Linked DNA regions of Arabidopsis thaliana. The protein of the gene in region 4 interacts with the protein of the main gene of each other region in a pairwise test. Each region holds a gene or a part of one and is shown on either strand. Other genes may lie near its edges. The genes, in order: AT3G09630, AT3G54390, AT4G33690 and AT1G17970.

What was found.
Region 1: the proteins of AT1G17970 (region 4) and AT3G09630 interact in a two-hybrid assay, tested with the Arabidopsis thaliana proteins (one large-scale study listed by BioGRID).
Region 2: the proteins of AT1G17970 (region 4) and AT3G54390 interact in a two-hybrid assay, tested with the Arabidopsis thaliana proteins (one large-scale study listed by BioGRID).
Region 3: the proteins of AT1G17970 (region 4) and AT4G33690 interact in a two-hybrid assay, tested with the Arabidopsis thaliana proteins (one large-scale study listed by BioGRID).

What each region holds. Positions count from the first base shown.
Region 1 is NC_003074.8:2,950,509-2,957,861, forward strand, and holds AT3G09630 (Ribosomal protein L4/L1 family), read left to right. Parts: upstream 1-3,184; 5' UTR 3,185-3,304; coding exon 3,305-4,411; intron 4,412-4,822; coding exon 4,823-4,936; 3' UTR 4,937-5,230; downstream 5,231-7,353. Other genes in the region: AT3G09620 (P-loop containing nucleoside triphosphate hydrolases superfamily protein), read right to left, coding at 1-1,700; APX2 (ascorbate peroxidase 2), read left to right, coding at 5,793-5,914, 6,016-6,190, 6,542-6,607, 6,750-6,798, 6,879-6,961, 7,038-7,117, 7,209-7,311.
Region 2 is NC_003074.8:20,136,112-20,143,121, forward strand, and holds AT3G54390 (sequence-specific DNA binding transcription factor), read right to left. Parts: upstream 3,134-7,010; 5' UTR 2,887-3,133; coding exon 2,858-2,886; exon of another isoform or gene 2,772-2,857; coding exon 2,237-2,771; intron 2,176-2,236; coding exon 1,801-2,175; 3' UTR 1,627-1,800; downstream 1-1,626. Other genes in the region: SAC3C (SAC3/GANP/Nin1/mts3/eIF-3 p25 family), read right to left, coding at 34-134, 404-641; AT3G54400 (Eukaryotic aspartyl protease family protein), read right to left, coding at 4,180-4,535, 4,770-5,247, 6,045-6,488.
Region 3 is NC_003075.7:16,171,229-16,178,318, forward strand, and holds AT4G33690 (G patch domain protein), read left to right. Parts: upstream 1-3,527; 5' UTR 3,528-3,709; intron 3,710-3,969; coding exon 3,970-4,138; intron 4,139-4,232; coding exon 4,233-4,515; intron 4,516-4,620; coding exon 4,621-4,909; 3' UTR 4,910-5,100; downstream 5,101-7,090. Other genes in the region: AT4G33670 (NAD(P)-linked oxidoreductase superfamily protein), read right to left, coding at 49-218; AGD2 (Pyridoxal phosphate (PLP)-dependent transferases superfamily protein), read right to left, coding at 619-912, 1,003-1,209, 1,285-1,605, 1,707-1,757, 1,843-1,947, 2,160-2,222, 2,507-2,623, 2,819-2,886 and 2 more; AT4G33700 (CBS domain protein (DUF21)), read right to left, coding at 5,319-5,363, 5,438-5,709, 5,789-5,904, 5,978-6,051, 6,178-6,265, 6,375-6,514, 6,601-6,687, 6,780-6,893 and 1 more.
Region 4 is NC_003070.9:6,181,415-6,189,711, reverse strand, and holds AT1G17970 (RING/U-box superfamily protein), read right to left. Parts: upstream 4,996-8,297; 5' UTR 4,681-4,995; coding exon 4,108-4,680; intron 3,542-4,107; coding exon 3,377-3,541; coding exon of another isoform or gene 3,305-3,376; exon of another isoform or gene 3,053-3,304; coding exon 2,954-3,052; intron 2,869-2,953; coding exon 2,734-2,868; intron 2,645-2,733; coding exon 2,510-2,644; 3' UTR 2,239-2,509; downstream 1-2,238. Other genes in the region: PAPS1 (poly(A) polymerase 1), read left to right, coding at 23-85, 172-501, 579-743, 834-1,679, 1,765-1,832, 1,931-1,970; AT1G17960 (Threonyl-tRNA synthetase), read left to right, coding at 5,975-6,105, 6,217-6,517, 6,667-6,739, 6,796-6,890, 7,134-7,166, 7,257-7,343, 7,439-7,531, 7,613-7,705 and 2 more.

The DNA.
Region 1 (7,353 bases), on a different chromosome or scaffold from region 4:
TGAGGCTCAAAACCCATATCAAACATACGATCAGCTTCATCCATTACCAAATATGTGACCCTTCGTAGATTGGTAATTTTTCCACTGCTTGTGCAAAGAATATCGATCATTCTTCCAGGAGTACAAACAACAATCTCGGTACCTCGCTTAAGCTCACTGATTTGCTGGGCAACTCCAGATCCTCCATACACAGGCACACATATTATACCCAATGCCTTAGAAAACTTTCTGATATCGCTGTAAATCTGCTGAACAAGTTCTCTAGTAGGTGCCATTACAAGCCCAATCGGCCCATCACCAGCTTCAACGGGAGGCTGATCTTTGATATGCCTCAACATAGGCAAAACAAAGCCAAGGGTTTTACCTGACCCGGTTTTGGCAACCCCAATGCAGTCTCTACCGCTCATGATGATTGGAAGTGCTTGTGCTTGGATAGGCATTGGCTTTTCATAGTTAAGCTTCTTCAGAGTATCCAAAATTTTGCTAGTTAATCCAGTCTGGTGCCAAAATTGAATGGGTCTTGGAACATCTTTCCCATGAACTTTCAGCTCCAATTCCTTTCTATAAGCGTTCACTGCATCCTGTGTCATCCTTGAGATATCCTTGACTTCGATATAAAAATTCTTCCGGAAAGGTTCATACTCTATTTTGGAGTGGTCAACAAGAGACAATTTCTCTGCTTTTGTCTTCTTAACTCTCTTCATAAACTCCTCGTCGTCTTCGTCTAAACTTGGATCATCATCACTCTTTGGTTCTGAGTAATCTGAATCAGAATCTTCACCTTGAATTATCCTACCAAGGGCGGCCTTATTAAAACCTTTTTTGGCTTGGTCACCAGTTTCCTTCCCATTCATTTTAAAATCCAAAATACCATCGATCACAATATTGCTAAGCTTTTCAACCTCAGGTAATACCATAGTATTCATAAAAGCATCTAAGGGATCAATTTCGTCTTCATCTGCAGCTCTGTCACCTCCATTCTCAGAGACAGTAACAGCTGTCTCATTCTCCGAGGCGACCATCTTGGCATCTCCACCATTTTCGAGTTTAGTATCACGATCAACATCCATCTCTGAGTCTGATTTAACTTCATCATCAGATTCACCATCAAGAGTCCAAGCCTTACCGGTCTCAGGACCCTTACTTTCAATTTGAGCTTCCTCGTTTTGCCTCTTCAACTCTTGCCACTCCTGGACTCTTCTCCTCCGTTTTTCTACTTCCTCAGCCAACTGCTTCTGCTCATCCTCTACTTGTTCATCCCGAGTTTTCTTCTCAACATCGTCATCTCCATGCCTGCTACGCTCCGTTCTTTTGCGTTTCAAGCCACACTTGACATCATCACTCTCTTCATTACAATCCTCACGTGACCTCTCCTTTTTCTGTTTCTTCCTACCCTTTTCTTTCTCACGTTCTCTCCTCTCTCTGTCCCTTTTCAGATATTTTCCTCTATCTCTGTCACGTTCTCGGCGTCCTCTTCCCTTGTCCTCCCCTCTGCGTTTACTATCCCTCTCGTATTCTTCTTCTTCAAAATCGCTACTTTTTCTATCCCTCCGTATCCGTATCCTCTCCTCTTCCTCAGAATCGCATCTCTTAACTCTCGAGCGCATCTCCGTCGTATCTCGCCGACCATTCTCTTTCTTACTGCGATCACGATCTTTGCGATCATTTTCCTTCCTGGACTTAGATTTCTCTAACATCATCTCAAACGCAACAAATCCCGATAGAAAATTCCGTAACTTAAACCCAAATTCAAATCAAATTCATCCGCCAAACAAAAGCTTCAACGATAACCCTAAAAATGTTGCGGTGAAGAAGACAAAGCTACCAGAAGAATCAAAACTCTCTACACCGTAACGTTGTAACGTCTCGTTAGTGTCGAGTAACAGAGATAATAAAGCTGTAAGGTTGGGCCCTTATTGGTAAAAGATAAAAGTGAAAACCAGTTATTGGGCTATTTGGGCTTTAGTTAGGTCCACTATTAATCGATATTTTCCTCATGGGCTTCTAAACAACATCGCAAGGTTATTCTATTCAAAATAATTATTCATTTCGTTGATTTCATCTCATGAATGATTTCCTATTATTTATAGTTCATTCCCCAAACCACTCGCATCACAGGCGCGTTGAGCACGTGAGGCTAAAATCCATGGACTATATAACCTTCCTTTTTGGGGATTTTTTGCATAAATTAAAAACTGAGAGGACCTGCAGCGCGTGGGTTGGGATTTCATTTGTTGTGACTACAATTTTTTTTTTTTTTCCCCCAAAGGTCTTTCTGTTTATTGACTTTTTATCATAAGATAAAACGTTACAAAATGGGTTAAACCTATCTAGGTGATTACAAAATTTCAAAAATTGAAACTAAAAAGGCCTAACCCCAATAAAAGGATATCAAACCCAACTTGAAGAGAGGCATTGAAAGCTAAAAGGACTGGACCAAAAACCCAAACGACTACAGTATTCACATGAAAATATAACCAAACGAAAAGAACTATTACCGTGTTTTATCTTTTGCTCAGATTATGGTCCGAAAATATTGTTATCGATTCTTGATTTAGATTAAAAATGAGATAAAACTGTAAAGATTTTCTGAATATTTTGAGGTGTGCATTTTAATAGAAAACGAAGCCGATAGTGAATACACCGAGTTTGATAACTTCACCAAATGACTCGGTGGCAGTGCTAATCAGTAATATCTCACCTGCTTAGGAGCACTTCCATATTTAGGAAAAGAATATGATTTGAAATATTTTGCCATTCAAGATCGAGACTAAAGATTATTTGAACTATAAAGCAAATTTTCACTCTTTAACGCTCCATTTCGTACATTACTTTGATCATTTTTCTTTTTATCTATTTTTTTCGTCGACCGTTTTCTTTGACGATGTTTGTTATATGATTCTAAAAGCATCCACAATGGTAGACTCTTAGCAAAACTCTTAACAAATATTTAAAAAATTATATAATTTAAATATTAGATAAATCTCTTAAATTTGGTAAAACTTAGGTCAATTGTCTCTTAGTTAAGAGACAAATAGTCGGGTTTTATTAGGCCCACTAGTTCGTTAAAGGCTAAAGCAGTGCCCGGTTCTTATAGCGGAGGTAACTTTAAATATTGGGCCCTTACTGAAAGGTAAATTAGTTGGGTTTATTGGGCTTTATTATAAGGCCCACTAATTCAGCAGTAACCCTAACGAAACCCTAGCATATATTAGTTCTTAAACTTCAGCTGAGAGAAAACCCTAATTTCTCAAAGAGTCTAAAGAGACGGAGAGTGAGAGAAGAGAGAAACATTTCGAGACAAATGGCCGCCGCCGCTGCTCGTCCTCTCGTCACCATCCAAACCTTGGATGGTGACATGTCCACCGATCAATCCTCCACCGTCGTACTTCCCGACGTCATGACGGCGCCAGTTCGACCAGACATCGTTAACTTCGTTCACGCCCAAATCTCCAACAACAGCCGTCAGCCATACGCCGTATCGAAGAAGGCCGGTCACCAGACCTCCGCCGAGTCCTGGGGAACCGGACGTGCCGTGTCTCGTATCCCTCGTGTTCCCGGTGGTGGTACTCACCGTGCTGGTCAAGCTGCGTTCGGTAACATGTGTCGTGGTGGTCGTATGTTCGCTCCAACCAAGATCTGGCGCCGCTGGCACCGTCGTGTCAATGTCAACATGAAGCGTCACGCAATCGTCTCAGCTATCGCTGCAACTGCTGTTCCTGCGCTTGTGATGGCTCGTGGTCACAAGATCGAGAATGTTCCTGAGATGCCTCTTGTTGTGAGTGACTCCGCCGAAGCTGTGGAGAAGACCTCAGCTGCGATCAAGGTTTTGAAACAGATCGGTGCTTATGATGATGCTGAGAAGGCAAAGAACAGCATTGGAATCCGTCCTGGTAAAGGTAAAATGAGGAACCGTCGTTACATTTCTAGGAAAGGTCCTCTGGTGGTTTATGGAACTGAAGGATCTAAGATAGTTAAGGCGTTTAGAAACCTTCCTGGTGTTGAGCTTTGTCATGTGGAGAGGCTTAATTTGTTGAAGCTTGCTCCTGGTGGTCACCTTGGTCGGTTTGTGATCTGGACCAAGTCTGCCTTTGAGAAGCTTGAGTCTATCTATGGTTCGTTTGAGAAGCCATCAGAGAAGAAGAAGGGGTATGTGCTTCCTCGTGCAAAGATGGTGAATGCTGATCTTGCCAGGATTATCAATTCAGATGAGATTCAGAGTGTTGTGAATCCGATCAAGAAGGATGCGAAGAGGGCTGTTCTTAAGAAGAATCCATTGAAGAATCTCAATGTGATGTTGAAGTTGAATCCTTATGCTAAGACCGCGAAGAGGATGTCACTGTTAGCTGAAGCACAGAGAGTTAAGGCTAAGAAGGAGAAGCTCGCCAAGAAGAGGAAAACCGTTACCAAGGTAATCTCAATACTTGACTTGTTCTCTTATCAACCGTTTTTGGATTGTCTTTGTTTAGTTACTGATTACATTTTGATCTGTGGTTGCATTTCATTTGACTTAACTTATATTGCAATTGTTCTAATTGACTGAGTTTGTGTATGTTAAGCTATACAATAATCTGTTCCCCTCTGGTTTAGTCTATGACTATAGTAGTCTTTCTTTACTAGATCTTACCTTTTCTGTTCTGAATTGTGGTCTAGTAGTTTGTCTTGTAAATCTGTTGTGTACGATTCTTTGTCTTGATATTGATTTTAGGTTGAGCTATTAAGCAATTGAATCTCTTAGCACTTTCTTGTCCCTTGTGAAAATTGTTCTTCATATGTCCTCTTTTCTAACTCCACTTTGAAATATCTATTTTTCTTACATCAGGAGGAGGCGTTGGCAATCAAAGCAGCAGGCAAGTCGTGGTACAAGACTATGATCTCCGACAGTGATTACACCGAGTTTGATAACTTCACCAAATGGCTCGGTGCTAGCCAGTAATAATCTCGTCTGCTTTGGAACACTTTCCATATTTTAGTCAAAAGATTTTGGTTTTTTTAATCTGTTTTGTCTTTGGGTGTCTGGATATCAAGTTGAATTATGAACAAGTTTCACTTTTTTACATCTCCATTTCTTACTTCGCCTTTATCAGTTTCATTTATTTATCTCTTGCTCCTTCGTTTCCTATGATGATGCTTGTTATGTTATGAACCTACTTAAAAACAAGCTGAAGCTTTCTTTGGTTTACCCCAGCAGAAACATTAATCAAGTTCAATTGATCAATATGTCGATTGATTTACTGTTTAAAGGCATAGTGTGTCTATCAACCCTTAAGTCTTTTTGGTGGATAGTGAAGCTCAAACCCAATTCAAATGTCGATCAACCCTAACGTTTTTGTGCTCGATAGTAAAGCATGAGTATAAAAAGAACGTCGCTTCTTCCTACAATCACACAGATCATTTGAAGCTTTGATTAGTTGGTACAACATACTCGAGGAATACAGAATGACACGTGGTGTGTATCTGTTGGATAAATTTGTATTATTCTTCTTTACTATGGATGGTTTCTGGAAGGCGCGCCAAGAGTCCTTCTTTTTCCATCTACAAATCATGACCGTCCATCTCCAAAAGAAGACTGAAACAGTGAAACTAGAAGCTTCATTTTGATCATCAGCCAGTTTTATAAATTGATCCGTATACTAAAGTAACAACTACTAGCACTTTCTTCTGTGATCGATCATTGTGTTTAAACTAAAGGTTTGTATGTTCTTGTAATCTTATTGATCTCGATAGGTTCTCCATTCTCTTTAGGTTTTAAAGCCTTCAACGATTTCCAGAAGGAAGCGAATTTGAAAAAAATGGTGAAGAAGAGTTACCCGGAAGTGAAAGAAGAGTACAAGAAAGCTGTTCAGAGATGCAAGAGGAAGCTCCGTGGTCTTATTGCCGAGAAGCACTGTGCTCCCATCGTCCTCCGTCTTGCGTAAGATCCTCTCTCTGGTTCCAGTCTTTTCTGTTACTGTGAGTACTGAGTTGTTCGATTGATGGCTTCTCAGAGCATATTTTGTTGGCGGAAATTTGCAGATGGCACTCGGCTGGGACATTTGATGTGAAGACGAAGACAGGAGGACCGTTTGGGACGATAAGGCATCCCCAAGAGCTAGCCCATGATGCCAACAATGGTCTTGATATTGCCGTTAGGCTTCTTGACCCTATCAAGGAGCTGTTCCCTATTCTGTCATATGCTGACTTCTACCAGGTAAATTTTCAACAATGTACTGAGTTTTTTGACCTCTAATTGTGAAGCAAGGGATGCATCAAGCTGTAGTAAGTAGGAACTTGAGGTAGAACCATAGAATCAAGGGTTTTTTGATGCATCAGTGATTATACCGAGAGGGGAAACATTTGGAAGGGATTTTGTTGGTTGGTACAGCTAAGTTATGACTTAAAATGGGTTCTTCTCTAGCTTGAGCCGTCGGCTATTGGCCCTCTGGTTTGTCTGCAGTGAACTAGATTCACACATGTTAGATTGATACTGAATCTAAAAGCTTACTTTGTATTTCGCATGGCTTTAAGGGCTTGATTCATCTGTGTTTCTTGGTTACTGTAGCTAGCTGGAGTAGTTGCTGTTGAGATCACTGGAGGACCAGAGATTCCATTTCATCCTGGTAGACTGGTGAGTCAATATTCAACTTCTCAGTTTTCTGGCTACCAATTATTAGCTATCTCTTCGTTTTAAAACGCAACTCACTGATGATGAGACACCACTGCTAAGTTTTTTGTTCATGTGATTAACTGAACCAAACTTCATCTTTCAGGACAAAGTTGAGCCACCTCCTGAAGGTCGTCTGCCTCAGGCCACCAAAGGTAAAGCAGATATATGAAAATGAATTTAGCTTGAATTCAGGTATCAGATTGTAGATACATGTTCATAATCATAAATTCAGGTGTGGATCATCTAAGAGATGTGTTTGGTCGGATGGGACTCAATGACAAAGATATCGTTGCATTGTCTGGTGGACACACCTTGGTATGTATGCTGCATCCAGAAACAAAGACCTATGTGCTTTTCTCAGTTCTGGCTCACACCATTCTTTTACTTTCAGGGTCGGTGCCACAAGGAGCGTTCAGGATTCGAGGGTGCATGGACACCAAACCCGCTCATTTTTGACAACTCCTATTTCAAGTAAGATCAGATTCTCTGCTTCTGCTTGCTCATACTTGAATTGGACATGAGCTGAATTAGAAGCTCTTGAATCTTGATGGTTGTTAAACAGAGAGATACTAAGCGGAGAGAAAGAAGGACTTCTTCAACTACCAACCGACAAGGCTCTTCTTGATGATCCTCTCTTTCTCCCATTTGTTGAAAAATATGCTGCAGTAAGTTGTTCAACTCATCATTCCATGATTCTCTCAGCATAC
Region 2 (7,010 bases), on a different chromosome or scaffold from region 4:
TGAAAACTCAAAGCTGTACAATGTGAACCGCACCTTTTTGACAGCTATCTCTGTGGATGATTTTGAGGGGTTTCCATAAAGCCTCTCAAACACTGCAAGATCACGCAGGCGTTCTCTTGTGACTCTTTCCCTCTCTATTGATACCAAAAACAACATATTAGATGAAGCTGTACACACTCTTTTTGGTACTTCAAGTGTAATTTTTTACCTAAACCCCTAGCAAAAGATAATTCTTTGTTCTGAACTGCCGATGCACGGAAGGATCATGAATTGATGAAGGGAAAGTACCTAATTGACCTAAGAACTAGATCAAATCCAATTCAGGTGCAGGATAGGGTTGAATTTTAGCGGAATCTCAGGTCAATTGGTAATTTATCTGCAGCTAACGTAGTTCGATGATTACCTGGGCACATAGAAGAACAAGTTCCTACAATCAATGAAACGTCAGCAGGATCTTCGTCTTTATGTTTTGATTCGTCTTTTTCATTGTTTCGTTTGTGCGGTGCATCGGATCTTCTCTGAAAGGATTCATTAACTCCGCCGCCGGATCCAGTCCTCGGGTTATCAGAGAACTGGCGGTTCCCATAAGTATTCGAAACCCTAGAAGAAGAAGAAGAAGAGCCACGATTACGACGATTCATGGCTTAGAGGGAACGAGATCTTCTTCCCTCCCAAGTCCCAAACCAGACTCTGAAGAAACGAACCAATCAAAGCTGTTACCGAACTATTATTTGGAATAAACCGGAAGAGAACCAAATCCGGTACAGTACTCTCAGCGAATTAAATCTGGCGGCAACCGGGTCAATTTAATTTACACCGGTTCTGACTTGTACACAAATTTGCATTTCTACAAATGCAGCATTCAAAATTCAACTCAAGTAAGAATCTAGAACATTTCACATTTCCCTACACTTTGTAATTTACATATATAGTTTTGGAAAATTTGATTTTAAGTTTTGTTTTGTTTTTCTTTCCGGTTTTGCAGATTTTCTTTTTAAATCGATACCAAATCAAACCTTTCGTATACGGTTTGGTCTTTTTTTTTTGGGAAGAATATATGGTTTAGTCATTTGTGCAATTACGATTCGGTTCTGTTTTGTTTTTTTACAAACAATAGTCTAGTTAGATATATTTGAAGGAAATCAATTTTGATTTTGTCATTTGAGCATTTCATTTTTGGTGTTATTCTATTTTTTCCCACCCCTATACAGGCAAGCTTAGGCCGGTTGGTGGGTCTAGTAGTCACGGCCACTCTCTAGACAGCAGAGAACAATGTGTCCACCACTACAAATTTAGGTTTCTTTTCATCAACTATCCCTAACAAGAATCTAACTGCTAACATTCAAAACACATAGACTAGAACCACTAATCATACTATCATAGTGCAATTTCCCATCCAAAAAAAACTCCATATTAGAAATGCAAAGAGAAAAAGCTGGTTCATCTCCACTAATACTAGACAGTTGTCTCGCATTCTTTTGCTAAGACTTATTTTCTCTTTCACTACAATCTCTAACACGACCAAACTGATCGAACCGAACTATCTACCAAGCATTCTCTGTAAATCTCTACCTGAAGAGTTAAAACACTTAAACACACACAAATTTGAGACAGTATTAGCATCTCTTTGACTAAAGATTGATGATATTCATATGGCAAAAGCATACATTTGCTGGTAGAAATGTGGAAATCGCCATCTACCCCAGGAAACAATTATTGGTCTCTCTCTGAGAAATTTTGACAAAACAACACTTGGTATGTACACACAACATCTTGAGTCTCCAATATAAAAAGCAGAACTCAATTTCTTCCGATCCTTAATGAAGAATCAACACCTTTGTTCTGTCCAGAAGAAGCTGCAGCAGCAAAGATTCTAGCAATCTCTAGCTGAGTATTCGCCATTATCTCCGTCCGTTTCAAATCCAATTCTCCTCTCTTAGCTTCAGCTTCAGCTCTCATTCTCTCTATCTCTTTCATCGTCTCCATTCTTGCTCTCTCTGATCTCATCACCACCTCCGCTAACCACCGTATACTTCCGGCGATCTCTTCCTTCTCTTCTTTATATCTTCTCTTCACTTTCTTCCCTCTCACCTTCGTTTTAACCACAGGCGTACTACTGTCTGTATCCATCTCCGCATCTTTTTCCGGTTTGTTCTCCGGCTTGAATCCGTCTTCCTACACACAAAATAACTTCATTAGAAAATCTCCCAAATTTGGTTAGTTTAGGTGATCAGACCTTAGGAATCTTGCCGACGCCGTTGGATCCGTAAGAAATCTGCGGCGGATGAGCCACCGCAGGCAACGGCGGCTCAAGTAAGAGCAGAGGAACAGAGCAATTCAGAGGCAGAACAGCTTGAGGCTGAGGCTGAGGCTGAGTTCCACGTAGGAGATGATCAAGACGAGGATAAAGAGGCCAAGAGGAGCCATCAGCAGTAGCGGACTCAGAACGGTACCGTTTCTTCATGGACTCGATCTTGTTCTTGCACTGAGTCTGAGTCTTTGGTGACTTGGTGTGAGTGGCGCGTGAGGACACGTGTTTAGCCACGTCTTCCCAGTCTTGTCCCTTAAGCTTGGCTCTGTTTCTGAGAACCCATTTTGACTCATAAGCTTCGAGTAAAGTCGAAACAGCTCCTTCGCTCCATTCATCACGTTTTAACCTATCTACAACGACGGAGGAAGCAGATGGCTTCTTAAGCGATTCGTCGTGGTTGAGAGATTTGAGATTTTCTTGGTTAGATTCTCCGTTCTCCATATATTTTTTCTTCAGGTGACTAAAAACAGAGACAAGGACTCAAGAGTGTGATGAAAGGAGAAAGAAAGAGAAGATTTTAGCAAGTCTTTTGATAAAGATGGGAACCTTTTGAGAGAGTGAATGGAGTTAAACATATGAGAACTGTGTAAGAATACGCTGCTGCTCTCAAAACTAACCAATGAGTTTGGGTACACGCGTTTCTCGCATGTTCAATGGTCGTGCCTCGTGACTTAAAGCTAATGAAATTATGTTTTTCACTTATATTGTTACTGTCATTTTAGTCTTTGTTCCAATTTATGGTTTGTATAAAGATTACAAATACAAACAGAGAAACGCATAATTGCACCGGCTTTATACTTACCTTCACAAAAGTTAGTGGAGCAACCCGTCACACACACATACTATAGAGGAGAATAAAGAGAAAAATGTGAGAAAGTGGGTTACCATTGAAAAATAGGGTTTCTTTTCTTTTATTTGTCAACTTGAAAAAAGGTTTTACTTTTGATTTTATTTTTTCACAATAATGATTTCAAAAATCTTCTGATGCAAATGCTTTTATTCATTTAGCTATAAAAGCCTTTTTGTATGCTTTTTTTCTCTTTTTAGGTGTATGGTGGAGTGAGTCTGGCTGTTAGCGTTGATGTCAAGCCAAACCGCAAAATCCATTTGGCAAAGATGGGAATGAACCTAATGGAAGTGGGGTTTACACTTGTCACTCTCTCACCCATTCTATGTTCCACTCTTTTTCTTCTCTCATGTTTGCGCAAAGATACTAATTCGGGGTTGTTCCTTTTTCACTTATTGAAAGTGTATATCTTTCAAAACATTCAGAAATTTTGTGGGTTAGTGTTCACTAAAATCTTTGGTTAATTATCAAGTCATCCAAATATTACAAGTACCAAATATTAGGACAAGTCTTTAATTTTCACACCTTTTTTCTTACCTATATGAGAGAAGTTTTGTTGTAAGAGTGAATGTGTTTCCTCGTTAGTGGAGTATGATGAACTATGCAACTTCAAGGCAGCACATCGGACATTTTGGGGTCTACAAGATTATCATCGTAGATTTTTAACGCGCCATTTAGAACTTCTCAGTCTCATTTGGGTGATGAAAATGCCTTCCAAGGCATAATCATTTTTTGTTGACATTTTGGTACTTTCTCATGAAGTTGATGCATATGATTATACTTGGAAGTTGGAACATATATATATTTAAAATAATAAAGGTCCTCTGTTCCAGGCTTATTGCATCCGCAAATTCATGAGTACAATCCTTTTTGAACAGAGAACATCGAAAGAAAATCATACGAAAGATTTTACAATCGTTTGAGAATTAACAAAAATCATTAACTTATATAGTTTCCAAAATTCAAAAGTTCAAAACGCATTACGAAATCGACCGAAAACAAAAATACAAATCGATAAAACTTAGGTGCAAGTTTCACGGGAAATTCCGAGCCTGGAATTTGGAACGTCGATGAGAACTCGGTGGTTCTGTTGCTGCATACTAGCGATGACGTTAAGGACAGAGTTAACGTTGACCGGAGCTGCAGCCATGGCGAGGCAGCTGAGGTTACCTGCGGAGCTGTGGATGAGAAGGTTGTCTGGAGGCAGAGTCACGTTCATTCCGGCGAACATAAACGTCACCGACGGGAACACGACGGAGCCGGAGTAGCATGTGTCGAAACCTCCTAGTGAAGTTGCGTTTGCGTTCTTAACACGTCTCCTGAACTCGTTTCTCACCGCCACGTAAGCTGGTTCGACTAGCCTTGTGTAGACCGTCCCTGCGTACATTCAAAAGTGTTTTGTAATTAAAAATCAAATTTCTTTTCTAAAATATAATTTTTATATGAAAATTTGGATTGGCCATTTTTGTTTTGATTGTAAAATCATTTTTAGTCCAGAAATATCACGTGTTACGTGTGAGAGAGCAGAGCAATTAGGTTACTTCCATCGCACGACTTTTCAGTTCTCAAGCGAAAAATAAAAAATATTAAGGAGGGTTGAGAAGTCCATACCCGAGTCAAAGATGGTGCCGGCTCCGGTGGCCGGATCAAAGGCGAGTGCACTTGTAGGAATATCCACAATTTTGTTTCCGACACGAATCCCAACCAAGTTAACATAGTAAAGCGATGATCTTCTAGGGTTCTTTAACAATGGAGTGGTCTTGATCCGGATCGGTTGGTTCTTAGGTCCCAATCTTAGTGATCCGGAGAAATTGCTGGACTTACTATTAGGCAAGCAATACGAGAATGTAGACTGATAAAGATTTTGTGACTGTGAGATTAAAGACAATGGACCACGACCTAAGCCCATGAGTCCTTGCGCTGGCAACGATGTTCCACTAGCTTTGTTGATGCACCCAAAGGTGTAGTTTGGGATGACGTCACTGGCCAATGTTAGTGTGTCTTGTGTCAGATATGCTTCGATGGTTGAACCACCGTAGGTCATGTTGAAACCACATGATTTGCTTACTGTGCAACTTGGATTTGGAGCCTGCAATAAAAAAAACTCTTTATTGATTAATATTTAGAATTTTTTTTGTTCTTTGAGTTTAACAACGTATTTCCATAAAGAATTGTTTTATCCATCTTGGATCTGGTTATTAAATTGCGCTACTAACGATGTGTTACGTTATTTAATTGCAGTTGTAAGTGGCGTTTTTGTATTATAGGCAAAACCTAACTAGCATGACGACAAAGTATATATATAGATCAAAGTTCAAACAGTAAAATATGCTCTACTAGTTGGATTGTTTATAAATTTCTTGTATAAATAATAATATACCCGTGACTTAGACTCATGGTACCAAAAGGTCCAAAACCCGTGACTAGACTTCTCGATCATGGTGTAATAACACGCCAAAAACGAAGTTCACATTCACATCTTTTGTGTAGATGGATCCAAAAATTGACGTAGAGGCATTCACATTACGCCTGACATTCGGTTCGTATTTCGGTTTTGGTTTTAAATTTCTTGTTTTGTTAAAAATAATCAAGTCCAAATACTAACCATTTTTTTTCTTTCGATTTGAAACATTTATGTATGTTCTGATTAGATCTTGTTTTGAACAAAGTAAAAATGCGAATTATTTGTTAGTATAATTTAAATGTATTTTTTGTATATCGATTTTCCCGGTTTATTCAGTACAAAAGTATCGTTAAGTATGAATGTATGATATGATTCAAAAAAATTACGTTGAGTATAGTTTTCATTTTTCAAGTCCATCCAGAGAATGCATGCACATATCTAATTTATACGGAGGGTATAACTATAAAGCAATATTTAGTTACCTGTTTACACTGAGGAGCTTCGCATTGAAGAGTACGAGAGGAGCTTGACTTGGAAGGGTCAAAGAGAACAGAGGAAGAACAGCCAACGCAGCCAGAACAAGGAATCCAAGCAGCGTCATTGCTAGTGTCAAGAGCCACGAGCATGGGCTGAGCCGGTGTCCCGATGTTAGCCCTCACGATGTAAGTCGGGCTCTGAACGATGGCCCGACCAGAGGCGATTGGAACTGATGATTTCCTAACGCCAGCGAGGCTTGACAAGTATAGGAAACGAGCCTTATCTTGAAGAAGTGTATCTGCCCATGAAACAGAAGTTTTGAATGGAGAACATAGACTGTTAATGTGGAACACTCTTAGATCTGAGGAATGGCTCTTTTCATTGCAGTTTATGGATTCAGATTTCAAGATTAAGAGAGAGATTAACAAAATCAAGAGATGGGATCTCATTGTTTAAGACCTTGATTTTGTCTTTGTGGTTTCTAGTGTTTGTAGAGTGAATGTGTGAGTGTGTGTTTATATAGTGAGTGATATACGATGAGTGTGTAGAAAGTAATAAGAATATAAAAATGAAGAGTGGGGTTTTGTATATCGTAGAGAGAACAGTCTGTATTCCATCTCCTATTTTTTCGTTGTTTCTATCTGTTTTTTGGGTCCACACTAATATTGGCTCTCTTCTCTATCGACATGCGCGTTGCTCTCCATCCACAAAAACTCATTACCCAAGGTGTTGTAATTTTTAGACTCATTATCGAATGGTAATCAAGTCAAACTGGAAGTCTAGCTGATTAATCGGTATATTGACTCTTAGCAAAAAAAAAAAAAAATCGGTATATTGATAAAACCGATTCTCATTCTAACAAAATAGTTACAGTTTTGATAAATATCCAATTTATACAACGATAAGGGAAATAGCAGAGGAACGTGTGGAGTGGTATTGTTTAAGAGATCCGAGAAACTGAGTTGAATTTT
Region 3 (7,090 bases), on a different chromosome or scaffold from region 4:
GAAGAATCAGTAATCTTTAGAAAATATAAAAGAAGAAGAAGTGCTTACGGGGAGGTGTCGAAGAAGTTGATACCGAGACGGAAAGCCTCGCGCACGGTGGCGACGGCATCATCTTCGGCGACTGGACCGAAGACACTTCCGAGCGGAGAGGCACCAAAACCAACGGCGCTAACCTTAAGCCCTGTGTTCCCCAAAGCTCGAAGCTCTATTTTCGTCATTGTTGATAGGATCAACAAAAAAACTGGTTCTCGTTGATGAGAGACGCGAGAAGACAACACTTGTGTTGTGTTTTTGGATATTTTTGCCCACACGGTGGCTCAACAAGCCTAAATTACGAAAACACCCATCCCGGTCCAATTTTAGATTTATTTAACCAATCCAATTTTATATTTTTTTGACGTTCTTCCTCAGTCCAATTTAAATATTTTATTTTCCACACTAGTTCACTTATTTGCACTTTGATTTCGTTGTTAAAATACTTTGCCAAATTGCTTGAAACACTGGTGTCAAAAGTGTCTTCTACAAATTCCAGAAAACAATGGAAACGACATTATTTTAACTCAAATCATGTCATTAAAGAGGGTGATGATGATGAGGAACGATTACAAACAAGGTTCTTCATTTGTAAAGCTGCTTGAATCTTCGACATGCCTCTAAGATGTTCTCTCTGTGACCAAAGGCACTGACACGAACGAACCCTTCACCCCCTGGTCCAAACCCACTTCCTGGAGTTGTAACCACATGAGTCTTCTCCAGAATCTCAGCAAACACATCCCATGAGCTTTGGTTCGGGAAGTGAACCCATACGTAAGGCGCATTCTTTCCTCCATATACATCATACCCGAGAGATGTGAATGTGTCAATGATTATGTTTGTGTTTTCTTTATAGAATCCAATCACCTTATGCATTGCCTGCAATGATTCAAAAGACAACAAAATAAATCATTTTGCATATCTGAACTAGTGGGAACTGGTTTGAGATCTCTCTTTAGCTAAGCTAACCTCAAGTCCTTCGGGTGTAAGGCAAGCAAGAGCACCAGCTTGAGAGATATTAGATGCACCATTGAAACAAGTGCAGATAATCCGATTGAAGTCTTTGGCAACAGGGAAACCGTCTGAATAGAGTAGCTTTTTCGGGATGACAGTCCAACCAAGTCGAACTCCAGTGAAACCAGCATATTTGCTGAACGAAGCTGTCTCCATAGCGACCTGTAAGCGGTTGTACACATGAAGAAAGATGTTGAAAAATGGACCTTTTAATGTTATAATCAATCAGTCTATTACCTCCTCTGCTCCAGGGATTTCGAAGATGGATCGTGGGTTATCATCAGACATGTACATTGCATAGGCGGAATCATACACTATTATAGAACCGTTCTTCTTTGCAAACTCAACTAACTGCGTTAGTTGCTCTCTCGTGGCAGCAGCACCCGTAGGGTTATTTGGGGAACAGAAGAAAATTATATCTGTCCTGCCAACGGTGGACAAGTCGGGAAAGAAGCCATTCTCTGGAGTGCATCTCATGTACTCGATGTTTCCATACTTTTGCACATCAGTGTTAAATTGCCCAGTCTGACCCATAATAACACTGGAGTCCACATAAGCCTGTATAATCCAAAAAAAACGAGACAGCATAGTTCCACGTTAAAATGGAGCAAAAGTAGAGAAGACTACAACTGCAATTTGGTTTCTATATGCCCAATTACCGGATATGAAGGATCCTGAACAGCAATTGTAACATTGGAACCAAACATAACCTGCAAGAAGTGGAATCAAGAAACAGCTGTTCATATTTCTTAATCTTGTATCAATTACAGATGAATAGTCAGCAATAAAACAAACCTGGAGACGTGAGATATCACATTTAGCTCCATCAGAAACAAAAACGTCATCATCCCCTATGCCAAGGCCACCGTAGAATGTTTTCGCAATAGCAGCTCTCAGTGGCTTTTCACATATGTGAAATCAAGGTTAGTTTGGATAAAAACTTAACAGATTAAGCTTTAAGATTTTACATGTAAGAAACAGGTTTAAATCCATCTTCTCTTGAATTTAGCAGCAGTTCAAGACTATCCATAATAAAATTGAAGTGACGTGCAAAGGCAGATAATAAAGAAATGATAACAACGCAATAAGGTGGAAATGAAGGGTGCACTGACCTTTGCACCTTGTTCAGCACCATAACCACTATATCCCTCTATTGTTGACAACTCATGAGCTTTCTGTCAGAGAAAAAAAACATGATTAATCTCTAGAGATTACATGCCTGTGTGAATAGTATAGCAAACAAAAAAACTATGCTACCAGAATAATTTTCATTGTTAGATTACAGAGAAGTTCTCGTTTAATAATCCAAATACGCCAAAACAGAAAATATGTTATACATTTTTGTCAAAATGAACGAAATAATACATGTTAGGGCAGTGTTAGTAAAATCAGTTTAAAATATGCTAGAGCCCAGAGAAGGGCAAAGAGCACATGAAGCTAAGTTAAGATAAGGAGGTACCTTTGCCATAGCAGAAGTGATCACTTCAGGAATTGGCTCAGTTGTGTCGCCTATTCCAAGACTTATAACTTGTGCATCTGGATATTTCAACAAGTGTGCAGACCTTCTTCTTGCAATCTGTTTGCATCCACACAAAAAAATAAGAGAGAGGAGCATTATATACAGAATCAATGAGGATATATTAACTTATTACACAGATAGTTATAATATTTCAGATCACTAGAAGCTTTCAAAAATGTTAACTTGAAATGCCACTCCTTTAGGTATTTGAAATCTTAAATAGTAGTACCAAGAGAGTAACAGGTAACAAACCTCCGGGAATAGGTATCCAGCCTGAAGTTTGGACATGTTTGAATTCCGTGACACTTTGGTCTTATACTCTACATACAGAAAACAAAATCATGTATTGTAAGAAACAGATAAACAGCTAAAAGACGATAAATCATTAACTATGTTACTAATCATTACAGCAAAAACAACATGGAGTAGGAACATTACCGATCTTCTCTTGCGGCGTAGCAACACATTTGCAAGTATTGACCCGTTTTGCCATGGGTAAGCAAGCATTTCGAGTTCTGAAGCCAAAAAGGAAAGCAAACCAATAAAAAAATGAATCAATGATCATCACAAGCAAATGCACTGTTCTCTGGCCAAACAACACCATCCAACATCGACTTAAAAACCAAAGGATTGAAATTTCCAAGTAAATTCATAACATACAATTAATTTCTGGAAATGAATCCAATTTCATATTCATCCTCACTAGATTATATCAGTAGCAAACAGAGAGTAAAAGAAAACAAAACGACGCACCTGAGATTAAAATTTGAAGGGGCTAAGAAAGTGGATGAGGAAGAAGAGATCATCGAAGAAACTAACTGATGGGTCGACGACATTTTTCCTGCTTCGCACAAAGATTTTTTCAGACAAATTTGCAGAGCAAATGAACCATGGGAGATAGTTGGTGAGACTGATAAAACTAGGGTTCTTCTTCGGTTTGGTCTGAGAGGAAATTAATCCGGTTTGTTCCGGTTCGGTTTTACTAGAAATTTTTGGGAATTTTCCAATTCAGTTCAATTTATTTATTTCTCTCTCTGGCTCGGACAATGATTTTGCTCTGCGCCTGCTGGAAAACGCCGAGGAATCGCACGATTTCGTGAAGCTGCTACTAGATATCTGTATCTGAGTCAATTCGATTTCGTGGTAATTAATCTCGACCAATAGGGTTCTCCAAAAATCCCCTTTTCGATTGTTGTGTGTTTACGTAATTTTGTTTGTTTTGCTTCGTTGATTTCGTTGTCGAAAGAACGTAGCTTTAGTGGAAGTTCTGTGATTAAGAAGCAATGATTTAGATAGCTGTAGTGGTCGAATTAAGTTCAACTCCATCTTTGTTTGATCTACCCAGATTGATTTGATCACATAACTTGATTAGGCTTATACTTTTTTGTTTTACCTTGGAGTAGATGGATCTGGAAACTGAAAATCGAATAGCTTCCATTCTTTTAAGAGAAGCAGCAGAATTGAGGAGACAAGCTGAGAAAGATGGCGTCAGAGCATATCTTGAGAAGCCTAATGTAAGGCATCGACCTAACTCTAGATTTCTCACTGCTACAGTTCTTGGTGTTCAGCAAGGTATAATCTTTTGTTGACAGACTTTGCTTCTATCCAACAAAATCTAGTTTTTTTTTAGTTTATCTCTTATTTGTTTCTTCTTTATTCCATTCAGCAAACAAAGCTGTGGAAACCAATGAGATGTGGAGTCTTCGGAGTAAAGAGATTGAGTTTGGTGAAAGGCTCAAAAGAAAATCAAGAGATGAGAGCAGCAATGGTCAAAGTGAGCAGAACAATAGGAGGGATTTTTTAAAGAGATGTACTTCAGTTGATGAGAATGTTACTACTACTAGTTTATCACCATCATCAAGCCGGAGCAGAAGCAAAAGATGGCAATCAGAGGATGATGATGATGAAGGCTTAGGAGATGTCGAGGTTAAGACTTTTCTCCAATCAAGGTATTTCCATTATACTCAGATGCTGCCTGATTATTTCCTTTACAATAATGATCGAATTTGGGATCGGCTTTTGCTGATAAAACTTGTGATTCTGGTCTATGATAGGGTCAAGCGTGGCAGAGGTTCTGTTGGTGCTATGATGGATGAACCGCTACCCTGTCTTCCTGAGAGGGAATTGTCAAGAACTTCTGATACAGGAGATCGGAAGCTAGTGATTCAGCCAGAGCGATCACCTTTATTGAGACGTAGGACAGATTCTTCTTCTTCCGACGAGGAGGAAGTTTACAAACGGGCTCATAGAAAGAGAAAGGAGCATAAGAAGAAACTTAGTAAGAAACACAAGTCAAAAGAGAAGAAAAGGGATAGGAAGAAGAGAAAATATGGTAGGGACTAGATCTTTCCGGACAAAAGTAATTGCCTTTTTACACCGGCAGTGATGTTGTATCCATAAGATGATCATATTTCATTAATTCTTGTATTAGTAAAATGCGAATAAAAACTCTTTGAAGTAAGGTAGAGAGTGACATATCTTAGAGACTAATGATATATAGGTAGTAGAGACAACTATTGGTGTGGCCTATGAGGGTTCAGATTTGGTAAAACTCTTTGAAGAAAGGAGAGAGCGACATATCTTAGAGACCAATGATATATATATAGAGAGAAAACATCTTGAAACCATAGAAAAAGTTGTTGTTCATGCCTACATTGATACACATTCGCCGGACAAGTGACAGTTTGAAAGTTGAAAACAAAGACTAAAGTTTTCGACATTCATAACCAGTTCAGTGGTCATGCACTCTGTGTTAGGAGTCTTCAAAATGGTGATCAGTTTCGTCAAAGATCTCCTCCTGCAACCACAAGCCAAGCAATAATTAATCCGTGAAAAAGAATTTTTGTTTTTAACTTATATAAGATTCCTTACCTGCAGAAGTTCTTCAATGACATCCTCCATCGTAATGATTCCGACTGCTTCTTCTTCCTCAGCAAGTTTAGGCAGCGGATTGCCATTCAATTGCAGGATGTCTGCATCATTGTCTTTTGACCACTTCTTGCTCTTTGACCCTCCTTTAAACGAACTTGCTCGATTCGGAAAGCTCTTCCACTTTTGAAGCGATCTTTTTGTCCTTAACATTCTCTCCTGAGGAGTAGGAGTTCCCTCACTATCCACATCCACTCGGGCTTCCTTAACACTCCCTATTAGAAACCAAAGCAAAGATTCTCAATACTTGTAACTCAGCAAGACATTGTTTTGTCGATTAATGAAGCAGTTTACCATTTTTAGAAGGTAATGGGTGGATTTTGTCACACTGTCTTACAACAACAGCCATGTGGCTGAGTCCTTTCTGGAATTCGTTCAATATGTCATATAAAGGCAAGATTTCTGGAACTCTAAAACAAAGCAAGAAATCAGCTTTTGAAGCACATTCAGTGGGGCTTAGTTACTTAGATTTGGAAGTTTCACCTTGGAATCCTTCTTATCGTGACATTCTTGACAGGTATTTCTTCATCTGGGTTGATAGTTAATAAGTTCTTCACCTGAAGATAATAGATATGAATGGTTAGAAGTGGAACCATAACACTAAAGAGGAAAATATTTGTGAAAAATGACTTCACAGAGAAGCGAGTCAAATTGTGGAAGTAATGCATGAGACTGGGAGTTACCAGAACAAGGCCGATTATGTTAGTTGGCTGCTCATAGTATACTGGAACTCTGCTATGCCCTTTCTCAAGAATCAAGTTCATCAAGTCTCTATACCAGAGGAACAAAGAAAAGAAAAGTGTTTAGCATGAGAAGTATAAAGACTCCAGGCAAGTGTGTTTCTGATAAGTTAGGTCTCCAAGGAATCACAACACAAAACCTGTCTAGTTTGGCATTGATATCAATCACAAAGATATCCGATATTGGTGTCATTGCATCTTTGACCATTTTCTCAGAGAGTTCAAGAGCTCCTGCAATGATTGTCGTTTCGTCATGAGTCAACTCCCCACCCTTTCCAGCCTGAAAGAAACAATACACTAAACATCATGACATAGATAGAAGGGGTACATAAACTTTTCAATATGGAAGATGGGATCAATGCATACCTCATTTCCATGAAAATCCACAAGTGTTTTCAGCTCAGCTCTTCGAAAAAGCGCTGCACGACGATGACCCAATAGAAAGTCCAGCAACTGGATTATTCAAAGGAGCAAAAATTTATTATAACAACGAGCATGATTGGTGGGGGCACTGGCTCCTACGGAAATCGGTAAAGTGTTTTTACCTTGCTTATTGGCCATGCAACAGGTAAGCAGATAAAGACTAGGACACGGACAAACGGAGCCACTGTTGCACCAATCGCTAAACCATAACGTGAACAAATCGACTGAGGTATAATCTGCAGTTGCAGTAAAGCCAACCATCAATGTTAGTATCCTGATTTGCATGCATTCACATCTGATATACAGGAAAGTGACTCAAAATGCTCATAGTCGTTTCCCTTATTGAATATTACAGGAAATGCTAATCTTACCTCACCAAAGAGAAGAATCAATGTAACTGAAATCAAAATGGCACCCCATGCCGTCACAAGGC
Region 4 (8,297 bases):
TTTTTTCTTTGTTTCTGAGCAGAATTTCAGAACAACATTAAGATGCATGAGATTTTGGGCCAAACGACGTGGAGTATACTCTAATGTATGGAGAATTCTTCTATAATGCTCTTCTATTTTTTATGTGACTATCATGTTGCTTAAGTAAAGTATCTTTCTGACAATTGCTAGGTCTCGGGATTTCTTGGTGGTATAAACTGGGCATTGCTTGTAGCTCGGATATGTCAACTTTATCCTAACGCCCTCCCTAATATTTTAGTGTCTCGGTTCTTTAGGGTCTTCTATCAATGGAATTGGCCGAACGCCATTTTTCTTTGTTCTCCGGATGAAGGATCCCTTGGTCTTCAAGTTTGGGATCCTAGAATAAACCCAAAGGATCGGTTGCATATAATGCCCATCATTACTCCTGCTTATCCTTGTATGAACTCTAGTTACAATGTCTCTGAAAGTACATTGCGGATTATGAAAGGAGAGTTTCAGAGAGGAAACGAAATATGTGAGGTAAGATTTCGATAAGTCCAAATAGTTGGCTTCTATGCAGATTCATGGACTTATTACAACGGCTTGATGTCTTGCAGGCTATGGAATCAAACAAAGCTGACTGGGATACCCTTTTTGAGCCATTTGCATTCTTTGAAGCGTATAAAAACTATCTACAGATAGACATTTCTGCTGCAAATGTCGATGATCTAAGAAAATGGAAAGGCTGGGTTGAGTCACGCCTCCGCCAGCTCACACTGAAGGTGAAAAGCCATGTTTACTTTAACTTGAATAGTTTCTCTTGATTTTGCTTTGCTAATGATTTGTCTTGGATGTTTGCATTGTAATCTTAGATCGAGAGACATTTTAAAATGCTTCATTGCCACCCTCATCCCCATGATTTTCAAGACACATCCCGGCCACTCCATTGCTCTTACTTCATGGGTCTGCAACGTAAACAAGGAGTTCCAGCAGCAGAAGGCGAGCAATTCGATATCAGAAGAACCGTTGAGGAGTTTAAACACACTGTCAACGCTTACACATTGTGGATTCCAGGGATGGAGATTAGTGTTGGCCATATAAAACGGAGAAGCTTACCTAATTTTGTGTTTCCTGGTGGAGTTAGACCTTCACATACCTCTAAAGGAACATGGGACAGCAATCGCCGTTCAGAGCACAGAAATTCTTCTACATCAAGTGCACCAGCTGCTACTACCACTACTACCGAAATGAGTTCTGAAAGTAAAGCTGGTTCTAACAGTCCAGTTGATGGGAAGAAGAGAAAATGGGGAGATAGTGAAACACTCACCGATCAGCCAAGGAACTCTAAACACATTGCTGTTTCAGTGCCTGTAGAGAATTGTGAAGGCGGGAGTCCAAATCCATCTGTTGGATCAATTTGTTCAAGTCCTATGAAAGATTATTGTACAAACGGTAAATCTGAGCCTATTAGTAAGGATCCACCAGAAAATGTTGTTGCTTTCAGTAAGGATCCACCAGAGAGTCTTCCGATAGAAAAGATAGCCACTCCTCAAGCTCATGAAACTGAGGAGCTTGAAGAAAGTTTTGATTTTGGAAACCAAGTGATTGAGCAGATATCTCATAAAGTTGCAGTCCTGTCTGCTACTGCAACTATACCTCCATTCGAAGCTACTTCAAATGGCTCTCCTTTCCCTTATGAAGCAGTGGAAGAACTTGAGGTTTCTTATTTTTCTTATCAATTTTCGATACATAAATTGTTCTCTTGATCTTATTCCTCCTGTCTGATTTCTCTTTTGTTGAAAGGTTCTTCCCACGCGACAGCCCGATGCGGCACATAGACCTTCAGTACAACAGCGAAAACCGATAATCAAGTAAGTGATTTTGTGTCTATGTTTACTCTTAACGTTTGAATATACATTTTTGGATTTTGACAAAGATTGTTTGTTTTTGTTTGTCTGATTATTCGCAGATTGAGCTTCACGTCTCTAGGCAAAACCAATGGCAAGTAATAATGGCTTTTCCCTACATTGCCAAGAATCTCAGAGCACTTACGGAAATTCGAGATGTTAAGTTGAGGGGTTCTTGTTACTTTATGTCTTATATTTATATGCTTTTCTTAGATGTTGCATGATCTCATGTAAAACTCGTTTGGATAAGATTAATGTAATGTGTTCTTGTCTATGGATCCCAAACACTTTTTCTGTCATAAATAAAAGTCTGGGTTGAGTTTACTTCACATATATATATAAATGCAGACTCAAACGTTAAAACATTGATTCTTAGTTACGTGCGTGTATGCTATATGCTAAATTACTCTCTACCTGTCTTAAATCTACCTAGGCAACAGAAAACATAGATTTCAAACTCTTGATTTCAATCACATAAATAGACCCAACAAAGAATATAAGATCTTAAAAAAAAAAAATTGTGATTGCTAAATGCAAAAACAACAAATATGAATCAAGTATCAGATGATACAGATCTCTATACAGCAAGGTGGCTTGAAAGATCTTGAGCTATCAGAAACCCGACGAGATACAAAAGTCTTTTAAGGCTTGCCATATGCTGCCTTCTTACAGACCGGACAAGCATTCTTCCTCGAAAGCCATTGTTTCACGCAATGGACATGAAAGCTGTGTCCACAGTTCAATTCCCCAACCTCATCCTCTCTCTCATACTCATCCTGTCACCATCAAACAATAAGGAATAGCATTATGAAACTCATGATCTGTCTGAAGTTTCGAGAAGCCATTGACTCAATCTGGAGTTTACCTGACAGATGCTACATTTTCTATCAACAAGAGTATGTGATACGGATGGTTTGATTTTCCCAAGACAACGATGTATCTCGCTTTCTTTTAGTCCAGTATTCACATAACCAATTCTATCACCAAGCTCAAGAAGTTGCTGCGTAGACCAAAGCAAACACACTCGATAAAGTTGAGAAGATGAGATTGCAAGTGTTTTTCTCATGAGATTTTGAAAAACATACCTCGTATGACATGCTATCAACATCGAGCCTCAATTCGTGGTAGTTATCACGGGAATCTGTTATTCTTCCCATTACAAAACCATTCTGGAGCATCCTCATCTGCAGTGAACAGCAGGAACATGACTACACTAGCTGCATGGTTTAGTTCTTTAACTTGCTCACTTGCTATTAGCCATCCAAAACAGTTTTACAGCACCATACAGCACCAAAGAGAACGATTACATTATTTGTCTTCCACTCTATCAGTCACTAGAATATGTAAGAGACAACTCTAGAATAATCTCTTAGTTGATATGAAGCCAAGTGACAAGTCAAACCTTAACATAGTGTTGAGTGTGATCAGTTAATAAACTAAGAAGTCAAATCTATAACATTTACCAGATGCAAGAAAGACAAGGCAACTATTTGGCAAGAACATTCTACCTCGGTAAGATCATCAGGGTAAGAGCGTGGAAGATGGCCACGACATCTACTTGACAACATCGTTGGTTCAGCGCGTGATGATGTCACAAAAGTAGAATCAGAGTTGAAGATATCATGAGAATGAGTTTCTTGATTGAGAAACCGAATGGGAAGAACAGAAGAACCCTGCAGAACATTTGTAGCATTGTGTTATCATTTCTCAAACACTTAGACATGATGATAGATTCCTAATTTTCAAGTCCTCTGAAGCAATGCGTTTCTTTGATCAAAATAAATCCAACAACTCCCCTAACCAATTGAATCCAACCAAAAAGAAACTTAAACAATGCTAAGATTCCATCCTCTAGCTAAACGAGACAAAAGCATGATAAGATTCCATTCTCTAACCAAACCAGAGTTCGATTAGTTTATTGAGCATCAAACCCAAAAGAACCACCCGCACGTCAAACAAAGAAATTTTCTATATTATCCTCACATGAAACAAAAACTAATAATAGAGAACCGCTACATCTAAAGTAGACCCTTATGATTTGTCTAAACGAGAATCCAAACACATATATTAATAAACCAAACCAAACTAACAATGGCCCAGCAATTGGCATAGAGCTAACTACAACCACTAGAGCTCCAACCACTCCACACAGTTTCTGCCTAAACGATACCATTTCCTCAAAGTCAAAGTCAATAACATAATAACACTAAATTCATCATCCAACTTTAGATCAATTTACCAGTGTGTGATTATAATTGTTGTTATCCACATCAATTTTGCGACGAGACGACGGAATATTCCTTCCCCGAGGAGGATCAACCGATCGACCAATTACAGCATCCGTGGAGAAGCCTAATCCAGGTCTGCACCAAACATCAATAACGTCTCTAGCTTCTTCGCTTAAAATCCTAATCGAACCATCTTCGTAGCTTCCTTTATTCTTCTTTTTCTTTTTCTTATGCTTATGCTTCTTCTTCTTCTTATCTTTTCTAATTCTGGCATCCAAATCCGCGGAGTAGCGAATGACGGAGGGAACAGAAACCTCTTGAGCTGCTGCTGCTGCTGCGGCATAGCAACCCATCCCTCGAAACGACGACGTTTGGTACGGTTTCTTCCTCGTGCTTTCGTTGGAGGAGGAAGTCGGGAGGGGAAAGAAGGAAGACATTGCGGAGTTACAGAAGCGATTAGGTTGTGAAATCGGAAGAACGACGTGGCTTAGCGGCGGATCATCGTCGGCGGCGTGGAGATGACGGATTGTTTGGTTTCTAGCTCGTCGGAGTCTGATGTGCTCGCCGATTGTTGTAGAAGACATTCTCAAAGAAAGAAAGTAAAGGAGATAATGGAAATGTGGGAGAGAGAGAGCGAGACACAGTGCGCGGGGAAGGATGAAAGAGAGTGATTTCAAGCTTGATGATGATGATGATACAGTTTTTGTATAATGATTATAGCTTTTCCTATATAATACTATTAAAGATTTTTTAGTTTTTGTTTTTACATGCAACCATTAGTATGAGATTCCAAACAAAATCAGCTCATGCATATCTTTTGTGAATACTACCAAATTAGAAATAATGATTTTATAAGAGATATTGTTTAGGTTAATTTGAGTATTTCTCTGGGTTTTTAACTTTTTTTGGGCAATTTAGTTTAATGATTTTGCTTATTTTTGGTTTTTCTATTCCAGAAAAGTAAATTTTAAAATTTTTAAAATGATGCTTGCTTGTAAAAATAGGAAAGGTGTCAGTCACTACATGACTCTTTTAAGTCGAAACAATCTTGTTAAATAAATAAAAAGAGAGAGAGTGATTAGATATTATTTTGGTAGAGATAAAGAAGAGACACAAAGTCCAGCTGAAACATCCTACGATAAGCTTAAACATCAAAAGACCACTTCTTTGGTTGGTTTTAATATTTGAACAATCCTCGTATACATAAAGTTGGCACTCTTGAGCTTTGAAGACATCCAGCAAAGCCTTGATGGTTGATGCTCATCGCCACGAAGCCTGAACCGTTTTCCTTTCCAATATTACATTATTGTCTACCAGACCCGGTTCAACCAAATCGAACCCGACTACATTTTTGTAACACGAAACCATCCGAGAACGTTGCAAAACTGATTCTAGCTTCATCATTAATAGGCTTTTAAGAGCCCAAAACTACAAATAATAAGCCCACTTCAAACTGATTTTATAGCTTCCACATTAATAGGCCTAATAATGGTCATTTGGATATTATTGAGAATGCAACAAATATAAATGTGAAACATTAAATCAAAGAAAGTCACGCCAAAATAGGTTATATACATATACTTTTAATTTGCATTTTATCAACAAAACTACAATTCAATTGAAAAGAAATTATAAATATTGTAGAAAATTATTTAAATACAAAAGGAAATTATGTAAAGTTAGGTGCATCTGCCACTTGTTGTTATTACCTTATTACAAAAAATGAAAGGAAAAGCTCTAAAGCTTGGCCCGCAAGTCACTTTAGTGTTGTAGCTATAAAAGGGAAGTTGACCTTGGGATAATCTACTCCTCTGCTCTCAACGTCATCTTCTATATTCTATAGTTTCTATTTGTCCTTCGTTCTCTGCTCATCCATCGATGGCGAATAATCATCATCCCAAGGATGAGGCTTATCTCTCATCCGTCATCCCCAAGCGTATCAGGCTCTTCGAGGAAATCCAAGCCGAGCAGCTTGAGCAGCTTCAATCTCGGCCACACGATCCAATCAAGTAAATACGTTTATGATTAATTGTTCATCATTTTCACTAGGGTGCATCAATTTGTTTGCTAAGCTAGGGTTTTGCAATTAGTTGATTTCTGGTTTTTGTTTCACTGCTTAGGATTACTCTTCTCCCCGACGGTATCGAGAAAGAAGGAAGGAGATGGGAGACCTCTCCAATGGACATCGCAGTGCAGATTTCTAAGGGTTTAGCAAAATCTGCTCTGGTTTCTTCGGTTAATCATGTCTTGTGGGACATGAATAGGCCCCTGGAAGGTGATTGTTCCTTAGAGATTTTCGGATTTGACAGCGACCAAGGCCGTAATACTTTCTGGCATTCTAGCGCCCACATTCTAGGCCAGGCTCTCGAGCAGGAGTATGGATGCAAGCTATGTATTGGACCCTGCGAACCCAGAGATGAAGTAAGAGCTTTGTTCTGTGTTTTTTCCCCTTAATTATGTTTCTTTGGCTAAAAGAGTAAAAAAAGGAGGAGTCAATATTGTTTGGTTCTTGGTATTTCATCTGTAATGTTGCAAAGACGGGCTATCTCTGATGGTAATTGTTATTGCAGGGCTTCTATTACGATTCACTTTATTATGGCGAGCTGGGATTAAACGACAATCATTTTCCAAACATCGAAGCAAGTGTTGCATATATATCTTTTGCTGACATCTTTTTTGTTTTGCGGTATGGAATGTAGAATTACCCATTAGAATGGCCGAATTTGGAGTGTTACACCGAAATGAGGACAGTGGAGCACTTGGTGGAATGACCCGTGTCCGACGGTTTGTACAGGTATGTTTGCATCTTTCTGGACTTTTCTTGTGGTAAAATGTTTAAAACTTAAAAATTGATTGCTTTATATAAAGACTAGCGACATTCAAAATGATATCATGATTAGTTAAGCAGCTTATTTGCCATGTTGAAGTGAAGAAGTTACCCCTTTACTTTACTTTACTTAGTAGTTTGTCAATTTGATTTTAACCCTTTTGTGCGCGTGTTGCTTAATTAAATAACATTGTGCATACTTGTTTTCAGGATGATGCACACATATTCTGTAGAGTGGATCAGGTTTGTGATATTTGTTTCTTATGCAGCAACGTTGGAGCTCCTTATCCTCCCAGTTTCTTATTTTATAGAAATATTCTTATCTATTTGCAGGTTGAGGAAGAAGTGAAGGGTGTGTTGGATTTCATTGACTATGTTTACAGAATATTTGGGTTTACCTATGAACTAACGCTTTCAACGGTAGGATATTTTCACATTTCTTCTCTGCCAAACCTAATATACTTTGCATGGTATGGTCACGTATCTCATTGTTTGCATGTTGGTTTCGACTTCAGAGGCCAAAGGATCACATTGGAGATTTGGAAACATGGGCTAAAGCTGAAAATGATCTTGAAAAAGCTCTAGATGATTTTGGAAAGCCATGGGTTGTATGTGTCACTACTTTCTGATGCTTCTACTCAAAACTTTATAATTCATAGAGAGATTCTAAAGTGTGATGTTTTCTGAAGATAAAGGAAGGAGACGGTGCATTTTATGGCCCAAAGATAGACATAACAGTGTCTGATGCCAGGAATAGGAAATTCCAGTGTGCTACTATACAGGTTAGGCTCCCAAACTCTTTTTAGTTTTTTCCTCTGTTTTTTGTTCTTGATCTCTTACAATAAGATTTTGATCCTTATTTGCTTCGTACCAGCTTGATTTTCAACTTCCGGCTTGCTTCAAACTGAAATACCTAAGTGAAAAAAACGAAATGGAGGCACCTGTGATGATACATAGTGCGGTGTTGGGATCTATTGAGCGTATGTTTGCCATATTGTTGGAACATTACAAAGGAATTTGGCCCTTCTGGCTTAGTCCCCGCCAGGCCATAGTTTGCTCTCTTTCAGAGGATTGTAGTTCCTATGCCAAACAGGTTTTCTTACATTCTTTATTTATGAACCCTCACACCTGCAATTCTTGCAGTGCCTAATCTCTAAGCTTTTTGTTTCCTTTGCACGTACATTCAAACAGGTACAAAAACAGATTAATGAAGTCGGGTACTATGTTGATATTGATGAAAGTGACAGAAGCCTCCGTAAAAAGGTAAATTCTTATGATTACAAGCTTTCCAAATGTTTAGGTCTTTGAGCATATTATACAAGTGAGATTATTTAAGGCCATAAATTTTTATCTCGTAAAGGCTAGTTGTCTAAA